Coturnix japonica: one gene and its partner. The protein of the gene in region 1 purifies or fractionates together with the protein of each later gene. This does not show direct contact. Links are inferred from orthologs where the notes say so. Each region holds a gene or a part of one and is shown in the gene's direction. Other genes may lie near its edges.

Region 1 (5,545 bases):
GAAAGAGCTGCTTTTCTCTAATCTGCTACAAGCTAGTAGACAGAATGAAGTTGCTATTTGCTCTGTGGTTGGAGTGTTTCTGATGCAGCCAGACCAGATCGTGATATCCTTTAGAAAGTGCTTTTCTGCCTAGCATCACCCAGCAATTAGTCCTCTGCTTGTTTCTGCTGCTAGGGTTACCAGTTTGAAGAAGATAATCCCATGAGAGATCATCCTGATGCATTTGAAGAAGGGCGAAAGCGCTTGGAGGAAGGTGACCTCCCCAACGCTGTCTTGCTGTTTGAGGCTGCCGTGCAACAGAATCCAGATCATATGGAGGTGAGAGAGACTGATGGTAACAGGCCTTGGCTAGGTGTCCTCCTTCTTGGATCCTTCACCTTTGAGGTGTTAGGATGTGTGTAGAGAGCTCCCCTCAACCAGCGGTGCAGGACATTTGTCTCTGGCTCTGGATATGTAGCTGTTGTGTGTGAATCCCAAGGAGGATGGTGGGCAAGAAGGTTTAGGGCTAAAATCAGATGCACAAAGTCTTCTGCTCAAAGCTGTGTAAAATCATAAGAATGCAGGCATGAAGCCAAGATAAGGAGCTCTTATCTCTTTGAGTTGCTTTTTGAAAGTCTTTATTGGCTTTATGAGCCTAGAGGTGCTTGTGATAGTGATGATGACAGTCTTTAATATGGGTATTAAAAGCAAAGTCTTAGCAGTTAGCTAAACTAGAGGTTCTGGTTAGAACCTGGATCTGTGAGGAAATTCCAAAGTCACCTTGGTCCAAAGTACAGCTTTGCTGGATCTCTGGAAACTCCAAAACTCTGGATTTATTTTCCTGTATAGCATACGAACCAGAAAGCCTATATATCTTTCCAGATAAGTTTCTAAGTGTTTGTGGTTAATGTATAAGGTTGCTCTGAAAGTAATGCCTCCTATTTTATCTCATCAGCCTGTGATATCAGAGGCAAGTGTTGGTGGGATGGCAGTAGAGGTTGAACCTTTCCATCAGTATTCTGTTACATTTTGTTGCTGTGTGGCAGATGGCAGCAGAGGGATAGTCCGACAAAATGGTATCTGACATGAAATTATATATGAAGCAAAGGTGTGTGTGTGTGTTTAATCTCAGGTCTAATCTCTGTGCTTGTTTATTTTTTCTGGATCTGAGGAAGTCTGACTTATGCATCTTTATTTCCTTCAGGCCTGGCAATACTTGGGAACCACCCAAGCAGAGAATGAACAGGAACTCTTAGCAATCAGTGCTCTCAGACGGTGAGTGGTACAGAAGACCCCCCCTGAGCAGGGGTCTTTCTCTTGTGCATAATGCCCTGAGGACCATGTGGCTAGTCTTCTGTCTTGGTTGTGTTGTCACCTATACGTGGGCATGACCAGTCTTGATTTAATATGATGGTTGTTTCTCTTTCTGTGACCTACAGGTGCTTGGAACTGCAGCCTGGCAACCTCACAGCACTTATGGCTTTAGCAGTCAGCTTCACCAATGAGTCATTGCAGAAGCAGGCGTGTGAGACCCTGCGGGACTGGTTACACCATAAACCAGCCTATGCCCATTTGCTGGAGAAGGAATCAGAGGAGAATGCATCAGAGACAAATCTTGGGACTTCCAAGCGTGTTCTGGGGTCCCTGCTGTCTGAGTGAGTTGGGGGTACAAATCTTAGCCTTCAGCTGAGAAGCTTCTTGGAGGATTGGGGCTGGGTTGGGCAGGTGTTAGATTGGGCAACCCAAGGTCAGCTTGTTCTACAGTATACAAATGTCCTTGTTCCATGTTTTTCCAGCTCGCTTTTTGTGGAAGTCAAAGAGCTGTTCTTAGCAGCTGTGCGCAGCGACCCCTCAACTGTTGATCCTGATGTTCAGTGTGGCCTGGGTGTCCTTTTCAACCTTAGTGGCGAATACGAGAAGGCTGTGGATTGCTTCAGTGCCGCGCTTAGTGTGCGCCCCAATGTAAGAAAGGGCAGAGTGGGGGTGCTGGAGGTACCTAGAATTTTATGGGTGGAGGTGCTGTGTGTATGAGAGGTGTATCCTTTGAAGTGGAGGAGTAAGACAGACGTGTTGGTTAGGAAGGGATGGCTTGGAACTTAAAAAGAGCCATTTTGGCTTAGTCTTTTGTCTCTGTCCCTTTCTCCAGGACCATCTCCTATGGAACAAGCTTGGTGCCACTCTGGCCAATGGGAATCGCAGTGAAGAAGCTGTGGCTGCATATCGGCGGGCACTGGAGCTCCAGCCAGGATATATCCGGTCTCGATACAACTTGGGCATCAGCTGCATCAACTTAGGTGCCCACCGGTGAGCAGAGGATGGGCAAATCTGTGACCTCTGAGTTTGCGTATCTGTGTGGGAGGGAGACACTGGTAGGTTACTAGGACAGTGCTGTGCTACCTGCCGCCTCCTGGTGGCAATAGGCAGACAGTGAATGCGTAGAGTCTGCCCTGAGAAGATGTCAGACAGATAAACTTAGGGTGGAGGCCATCTGGACTTGTATTCCTGAGAAGGGGAAAAAGGGGATCACTGGTGGTTTTGGAGTGGGGAAGGATCTGCTGAAGAGAGGGCAACTGTCGTAAAGGGGAAGAAACAGCAGCTCAGAAGCAAATGGGGAGGGAATATGAGATGTGCCATCTTCTCCAATAAGCATGTGTATATTCTCGTGTTGACAGTGAGGCTGTGGAGCACTTCTTAGAGGCTTTGCACATGCAGCAGAAGAGCCGAGGTCCACGGGGGCAGCAAGGCGCTATGTCTGACAACATCTGGAGCACCCTTCGCATGGCCCTCTCCATGCTGGGGCAGAGTGACCTGTATGGGGCAGCTGATGCCCATGACCTCCCCACGCTGCTTCAGGCATTTGGCCTCCAGCAGTGACTCTGGGATCAGCTCCCCTGTGAATGCAGGGTTGGGCCAGCCCAGCGGTGACCTTCTCTATGGAGAAAATGTTCACTTGGGTTCACACACACCTTTGCTCTGTTAGGGCAGATCACTGGCAACCTTTTCTTTTTAATCTCCTCCTGAAGTGTGCAACGTTCCCTACCTGCTGTTTGTGGCCTGAGCATCTGAGTGGTTCACATTATCACATCCGTGGCTGACTGACACTCTGCTGCCAGGCTGATGGTCAACGTGGGGAAATAGGAAGCTTTCTCAGATTACATCTGCAGGGGGTGCCCAGTGTGGCATTGAGACCTTATAGTAGCCACTCTGGAGGGAGTACTCACTAGGGATGTTTCAAAGGTGTTATGGTTGTGAGTGGGCTGCAGGGGGGAAAAAGGAGGTCCCAGGGTTCAAATTCGACACAACGTGACAGAAATGAGAGCTTAACTCTAACCTCCCTTCTCAGAATATGGTGGGGAAAGGGTTAAGTCTTAATTTTTCACTTGATTGTCACTGTTTTCACTTTGTGCAGAAGTTCCCCCATCTCGACTGTAACTGATTCTTGTTCATTATAAATATCTGTATATGATTCTGTTGGGGAAAAATGTTTTTTAATTGTAAAATATTTTGTATAATAGGGGAGAGAATTAAAATTGCCAAAATTACATCTTTCTCTGTGCGTCTGTTGAAGCCGCGTGCGGTGGGTAGCGCAGTGCTCCACAGGTACGGGCCTACTGGAATGTGAAACACGAATCTGCTTCTTTGTCTCCCGTTTTCCACCCAGATTTTGTTTTATTGGTAGCTCATGCAAATGAAGCATTAAGGACTTCATTTTGCTGTACACTCAAGACTTCTGTGAGTCTGCAAGAGCTTCCCTGTGGCTTCACCGAGGGCAGGCCTTGCCTGACCAATCTGGCGGCCTTCTGTGGTGGAGTGACGGCTTCGGTGGATGGGGGAAGGATGATGGATGTCATGTACCTGGACTTCTGCAAAGCCTTTGACATGGTCCCTCAGCACATCCTTCTCTCTAAATTGGAAAGGTGTGGATTTGAAGGATGGTCTGTTCAATGGATTAGGAATTAGTTGGCTGGATGCAGCCAAAGGGTTGTGATCAATAGTTCTGTGTCAGGGCGGAGGTCAGTCACAAGCAGTGTCCCTCAAGTATCAGTCTTGGGCCTGGTGCTCTTCAACATCTTCATCAACAGATGATGGTATCAACCACCTTCAAACTGTATTTACACCGAAGCTCTGCCTTCCACATCCCCTGAATGTGGGGGAAGGAAAAGGGCCTATAGTTTGTGTTTCCAGCCAAACACATTTCTGTTGCTAAACCTTGCTGTCCACCAGGGGTAGGTAGCAGCACTGAGGATTTTAGATTCACAAAGGGTAAAGCAGTGAGGATTTTTCAGAGGTCTGTAATTCAACGCCCTGTTGGGACTCTGACAGCTTCTGCATTTAGTAATCCCTTATTTACCTAGACAGGAATTTCACTGCTCACACAAAAGAGAGAGGACCTTTTGCTGGTCAACATTACACCTAGCGCGGCAAAGACTTGTTTGGTATTTTCAGATGCTTTCAAATGCCTGATTTGAGGCATTTGGAACCTTAGAACCCTGTAAGTGTATGGATGCTTCTAGGAGGGTCCATATCTTTAGGAAGAGTTTGTAGGTCTGGAGGTCTCCAGAGCAGCTGATGCAGTAAAAGGGAATTTCTTCAAGCAACTTTTCATGTCTTGTTGCATTTTTAAAGCAGAAGTGACACCTAGTGTTGAGTTGAGGGCAAGTCATTGTCTATCACTTTCGTACACGGGCCATTGCAACTGTCTAGCATCCAAAGAAGTTAAGAACAAACCAGAACCTCCTCCAATAAAACACTGTCCTGGTGCCTTGCATCCACAACTACCAGGGAAAAATAGCAAATAGGAAATGAGCAGATGCAGTTCATGTATGATTATCACCATCCCTGCCTACCACCCCCCATTTTAAAGTAAGGAACAAGAAAAGATGAGTAGTTACTGAGATAAAAGCTAAGGTATCCACTGTGGCAGAGAAGGTACGTGGCTAAACAACCTACTACTGAAACAGTGTGATCTTAAAGCACTTGGCGAGGTGATGTAGCTATATTTATTTAGCCTGGCATTAAAAAGGCTGGAGGAGAGGAGACTCTAATTTCTGTCTGTCGCTACCTAAAGAGGGTGTTGGGCAACAAAGCAAGACTCACTTGAGGTACACAACAAAAAGACAGTTCAGCACTGCTGGGCTGGTCCAGTCTATTTCCAGATATCTGCAAAGGACAGAGACAGAGACTGTCCTTTGCAGATGTCTGGAAATAGACTGGACCAGCCCACGTGCTGCTTTGAGGTGCTGCTGTTCACCTGCTGTTGAAGTCTGAGGTAGGATCTGCTGATGCAATAAGCTCAGCCTCTGTCTCTATAGTGAGGAGCTGGTAGTGTTTCTATTGGAATTCCGTTCTGTGCAAAAGCAGTCTTTGTTTCCTGTCCTTGCTCACTCTGAATGTTTGTCTATTTTTGCTGTGTACTCTAAGACTTACAGATGGAAAAGCAGTGTGCCAGCCCGCTGCAGTATTTTTCAGATGGAATAAAAGCAATACTTTTAATATGGGTCATACTGCCAAGTCCTCTAAAAGCATTTTGCTGTGGGGTCTGTTTGTTTGTTTGTTTGTTTAATGC
Region 2 (6,100 bases), on another chromosome or scaffold:
CTGACTGATCCGGTGATGAGGCTGTGGTACAAAGAGCAGATTGTGTATCTAAATGTGCACAGGAAGTCTGTAGCGTAATTATAGTTGGACTCCAGATTTAGTGTCCAGTTAGCAGGTTTGTTTGTGTGCACTTCTTCAGGTATTTATAGGTTATCTTCCTCCTTCACACAGTGTACAATGCCTGGATGCAGGAACATGGAGGAGCCATTGTCAACATTACTGCTGCCGTGAGAAATGGGTTTCCTGGAATGTCGTAATATACATATAATTTTTTTTACATTTTCCTGTATTTTCCCCATAGAACTATTCATTACTCCTAAATACTGTGATTAGGAGAGGTGTATAATGTGCAGCAGCTGAGTAATAGAAATACAGTAGTTAATGTCAAGAAAGCAATACTTGTCTGAATGAGTGGGAGTCATTATTAATTCAATGGAGCCTGCAAGAGTGAAGGATATCTCTGATCCTTTCTGCTACTTTGTAAGAAACTGAAGCAGAACTTGTTAGCAAAGCTTTCATTGGGAACAAGGTGCTAGTGGAACTGGTTGCCTTGACATGGAACCTTTACTTGTTTTGATGGCTTTGCAAGAGCTTGGCATCTGGTGGTTTTTTACTTCTGCTGTCAGTGCATAGATCTTGATGACATAATTACAGTAAATGGGTGCGGGATAGGTGTTGTAGTAGGAACATACATAGCATTTTACTATGTTTGCATGGAAAGGTCTCCAATGCAGGAAATTGTTTTTTTTTCCTCTGCTATAATAATAATAATATAAAAATAATATATATAATAATATATATAATAATAATAATATAACAATAATAATGATTGAGTGGAGGAATGGTACAGAAAATGTCATGTTTGTAGTTCATCTATACTGACAAAAAATGATCACAGCTGTCTGCATGAAAATAGAGGGTCTTCATAGGCAGATGTTGATTGTATTTGTTCACGTTGTTTTTTACCTTCAAAATGGATGTAAGCCTTCTGGTTGAAGCTTTTCCAACAAGAGCTTTAACTTGTGTGAGAGAAATATTCTTCAGAAAACACTGGTTTAAATGAAAATTTGATGTAGTGAGAATGCTATGCATTGGCATTTTCCAGAGGGGAAGAATTCTGAGGTTTGAGTTTCTTATTTGAAACTACTTTTTCTAATTTGACTCTGTGTGTATTCACTTGTATTTTCTTGAATAGAATTTGAACAAGTGTTATATTAACTTCCCTATGCCTCATTCAGGATTAAATCTTTCCAAATCTCAGTTTCTTACTGGCTTATTCTTAGCAGTACAAAATGTGAAGATCCACATGGTGGTGCTGAAGCTACAGTCATTTGAGTTTCTTTGCTCTGGATATATCTGTTTGAATTGTCACTATGAATAGAATATGGGAGAGTTGAACAAAGAATATAAGAGTAAAAAATTAATTCTAAATAACTTGGAGAAAAGTTCACCAGGTAACTTGTATATAGGTATGGATGGATAGGTAAGACTACTTTCAAACTAAATTCTTACATAATTGACACTCGTTTAAGGAAATTGTAGCATAGGTCTGTTAAATTTGACCCCAACTTCACTGTTTAAGAACTAGAAAATTGCTGTGCCTCTTGAGTGGTTGGTCCAGCCATGGAACACTACTCTGACTTCCTAGTAAGGCTGCAGGGATATTAATACTGAGCATTTAGCTGAGGGAAAAGGTGCTTCTTTTGCTTTCTTTTCTTAATAGGCACTCAGGAGCTGCAAGAGCAGCAGTGGATAACCTGACCAAGACTTTAGCTTTAGAATGGGCCCACAGCGGGGTGCGAATCAACAGCGTTGCTCCTGTAAGTAGCGGCAAGTGATGTGATTCAACTTGCTATCATATGTGTTTATGGTTGATGCTCCATAACTGAAAGGGATTTCAAAACGTAGAGCTTCCAACTGTTTATGGATTTTTATTTATGAATTTTTAGTTTCCTCATACATTTCACCCACACACTTTCCTTTCCATACATGCCCTTTTTTCCAAGGGGCTTTGTGTGTTTTGTGTTGTTTAGATAATGAGATAAACGTGGGGAAAATGGTTTACAAATTTTTTTTGTATATGGTTCATCTGTGCTTGTGGCTTCTGCCTGCATTCGCAGTTATGTTGAGAATCTCTGAATGTGTTCTTTCATGTTTCTATCTTCTCCTTGTCAAGTTAGGTTAGTTTTAGTTGTGAAAAGACAGTGTTGGAGATGTATCTTCACTTAAAGAAATTAGAAAACACATTTTTACATCTGGAATTCATTTTTTTTTTCTTATGAAGTATGCACAGATAGGATGCCACTACATGGGTCAGCAAAATACGCCTGCCATGTTTTTGAGGAAGTAGTTGAGATGTTGCAGTTATAAGTAACTTTGTGAAAACACCAGTTGTATTTTTGTTGCATGTGATGCAGCAGTTACAGGGCTATAAACAGGCCCTAGCTTTGAAGTCTGAGATGATGTCTAATGTGATTAAAGTTATCTTCACTCCTAATGACTGTTTCTTTTTCACATTTGCTGTCTTGAAAACTAAAGGGAAAACATTTAACTAGCTACTGCCACATTTGGAATTTCTCATCTTGCAGTTTAGTAAATCTCAGATTTATTAGTATCTTTTAAGGAAGATCCCTTTCCTGTCAGTGTAGGAGGTGAAGCAGGGTATACAGATGTCCTGCACTAAAATACCTCATTAGCTTTCTCCTGGCATAACACAAAATGCTTGATGGGAGACCCAGGAAGTGGCTCTTTTTAATAGCCTCTGTGAGGCTACTCTGGTGACTTCTTAAATATTAAGGTCTACTATCTTGTTTTTCCTGTTTGCTTTCTGATTTATCAAGACTTAGGGAAATAAGTAATGAGGACAGCATTAGTATGTGTGCATATTTTTAATGCATGCTAATTATCTAATGATTCATACTCATTATACTTTATAGCATCTGTCAGATGAGATTTTTGGCAGGCAGACACTTAAGTGGTTTGGCTTTTTTGCTATTTTAATTATGCAAGTGACAAAAATCTATTTTCTAGTTAGGGTGATACTTGACACCTTTGTGAACATACTTTGTATTAACCATGCAGAACTTGCTGTCTCACATGGGCATAGTAACATGCAGGGCAAGTGTGCGTAGAGAAGGAAATAAAATAGTTTTACAAGCGAGCTTCTTCCTTAGCTCCCGAAACACAGTTGTTCACATCTTAGAGAAATACTGAAAGGTTCTTAATGAACAAATTCAAATGCTTTTGTCTTATTGAAACTTGAGTCCGAAATTTTGTATCAGAATTCATCTGTAGAACCCTTTTTCTCTTACTATTGCATTCATCCTCTCTATGGAGTTTAAGCTGGATTTTAAAATCATCAGAACAAGGATTTCTATAACAGCTCAGTAGGAAGAGTTTGAAATCTGATTGCAAAACGCCTGTGTAATTCACAATGAAGTCAATCTAGTATTATTGCAGACTATATACAAAAACAATAAGAACTTGTTCTTGGGGTTCCTGTAGCTTTCTGTTGCAATTTAATTTGAAATGTTGGTTATTTCAAAGCAGTTGTTGAGTTTCTTAAGAGTTGTTGGTGTGGCGGTGAAGGATTAGAACAATGTGAATTAGTGTGTTTGAACAGGGATGTAACTATCTGTTCAGTTGCCTTCTTTTGTAAATTATACTATTTCATCCAAGTTAAATACTTGCATTCAAGTCGTGTTGGGATTGTTAGTGCCATAGAAAATCCCAGTAAGCTTAAAATTTAATCACAACTTAACATATGAAAGCGAACTTTTTTTGTTGTTGTTGTTGTTTTAATGTAGGGAATAGTATTTTCAGAAACTGCTGTTGCCAACTATGGAGAACAGGGTGTAATTATGTGGTTGAAGAGCATACCGAAGGTTCCTGCTAAGAGATCAGCAGTTCCTGAGGAGGTAACGTATTTCTGAACATTTGTGATGTTCCTACTTCTGTGTCTCTGTTTTAAAACCGCTTCATTATTTGGAGACTATTAAGGACCTGATTTTCAACTGGTGTAGTATAAAGAAAAGAAAAAGCTTGTAGAAATGTGCAGTAGTGTCAACTGGGGGACTTTTATTTAGCTGTTGTAGCTAAAATGTCTCGTGGTTGGCCTGTGTTTCTGGGAAAGTTGACTTGGTTTTTTTAATCGGGGAGGATTAATGTGAAAAGGTGTATCTTAAAAGTACTTGAAAGCTCACCGTTGCTCAGCTTTTACCTTGTTGGTGTTGGTAGCTGGAAGTGTGGTTTTAAGATTGTTGGGACTTTGATAGTTGAGTAAAAATCAGAGCTGTGCCTTGCCTGTGTCCATTTTTAGGAACATCTTGGACATAACTGATGGCCAGAGGTTTAAGAAGGACTGAAATTGTCATTTTTGTTAGATTTCTCCTGCAGTGTGTTTCCTGCTATCTCCAGCTGCTTCTTACATAACTGGGATAACCATGGTTATAGATGGTGGCCAAAGTTTATATGGCAGTAGCTTAGAAATACCAGGTAAGAAATGGGCTAAAAATAATGCCCCTACCGTGATTGAAGTTGGGCAATGGGAGCATGCAAAACCAAAACGCCCACTTTCTTTATCAGCTAAACCCACTGTTTTGTTTCCTCAGATCACAACAGATGGCCCTCACCACCAGAAGGAAGAAATTCTGAAATGCTTAAAAAGCTTATTTCTGGTGAATTCAAGCCAAAGCTGTAGTAGAACGAAATGTCATTTTATTCCTGGTTTCACAGTTGCTGATAATCTCACTTTGTAACTTGGTATTACAATTACCAGTAACATGATTTCTTTTTCCCCCTCACATAACTACATAGGTTTTCATTGTCTCACATTCTCCTGTTTAAAACTTGAGTAGGTCCATAGAACATCTTCACTAACAAACACTTGCTGGCCCTTGGAAGGTGTAAAATCGATTCTTCATTGACACTACTAAGTAAGGAAGGATCTCAGTCAGGAATGGTTAAAAGACACCTACTTTGAACTGAAGGGACAGGAAGAGAATTTTATAGAATCATTTTACACAGAGTGATTTGGGGGAGGAAGTTTAAGTCTTTGTTATTGGTACCTGCATCAGTAACCCTTGCAGTGGCTGTTAGAAGTATATAGTTTCAGTTCAGCCACAATCTGAATGCTCACAATGATTTTAAGGATTGATTAAAGTGCTTATCTGAGATGGGAGGAAATAAAATAAAGCAGAGGCCGGTTAAATAGCGGAATACTGTTTTTACAGCTTCAAACTAATGAAGCGTATCAGATGTTTCCAGTTGTTTGCCGATAAAATGACTTCAGGAGATGAGCAGCTGCCACTTAAATTCGTTGATAGAATAATCAAATAATAAGCTGTACAATACACTCTTGGAAAACTGTATGGATTTGATCATCTCACAGCAAAACCTGGAAGCATAGGTGCAGTGTATATTGCAGTGCTTTGTGCAATTTGCTATACTGGTGAAAGGAAAAACTTATGAATCTTACGTTTATCAGTGTAAATGCTTTCTATCCACACTGTCTTCTCTACTGATGTGCTGTTGAGATACCAGCTTTTTTCATCAGCATTCCTGAAACAGGGGTGATGCTTGTTCTCAATGGAGAGTTTCCATTAAAAAAAAAAGCCAACAAATCACAAGCAAATAAGTCTTAGAATATATTACTTGAAGAGGCTGGTTGTTGTAATTACTTTAAGACAAATGTTCTCATGTCTGATAACTTTGATCAAAGTATTAAAATAAATGACTGTTGTAACAACTGAAATTTGTGGAATCGAGTTGCTGCTACAGAAGTTACCTCGTCAGTACTGAATTTTGGATTGAATATGGGAGTGTCCACCAGCTGTGTGATCCCTCCAAAGGTGCTCGACTTTCTGCCTTTAATTAAAGTGCTGGAAAATACATGAAAAAAACAGGTTTGTTTATGAAGACTTCAGGACTGATTTTGGGGGAGGAGGGGGAAGGGAAAGTTGAGATGGGGAAGAGGGGGTTGTTGAGATGGGGCTGGAGCTCAAAACCAGAATGAAATAATGAAATAAGCTTTTTTCAAACCTTGTGAGTGATTTATTTTTTATTCTGGTGATTGTAAATGTTAATTCAGGGCGCACAGAAT

What was found.
Region 2: the proteins of PEX5 (region 1) and PECR purify together in Homo sapiens (affinity purification with mass spectrometry; 3 studies listed by BioGRID, with this or other methods). This does not show direct contact. The link is inferred for Coturnix japonica from reciprocal best matches to the Homo sapiens genes PEX5 and PECR.

The regions. Positions count from the first base shown.
Region 1 is NC_029516.1:69,678,971-69,684,515, forward strand, and holds the end of PEX5 (peroxisomal biogenesis factor 5), read left to right. Parts: intron 1-174; coding exon 175-318; intron 319-1,183; coding exon 1,184-1,254; intron 1,255-1,418; coding exon 1,419-1,634; intron 1,635-1,775; coding exon 1,776-1,941; intron 1,942-2,125; coding exon 2,126-2,283; intron 2,284-2,651; coding exon 2,652-2,853; 3' UTR 2,854-3,523; downstream 3,524-5,545.
Region 2 is NC_029522.1:23,213,354-23,219,453, reverse strand, and holds the end of PECR (peroxisomal trans-2-enoyl-CoA reductase), read left to right. Parts: intron 1-171; coding exon 172-253; intron 254-1,723; coding exon 1,724-1,820; intron 1,821-3,806; coding exon 3,807-3,917; intron 3,918-4,382; coding exon 4,383-4,494; intron 4,495-4,610; coding exon 4,611-4,699; 3' UTR 4,700-5,752; downstream 5,753-6,100. UniProt on the Homo sapiens protein: Participates in chain elongation of fatty acids. Catalyzes the reduction of trans-2-enoyl-CoAs of varying chain lengths from 6:1 to 16:1, having maximum activity with 10:1 CoA. Has no 2,4-dienoyl-CoA reductase activity.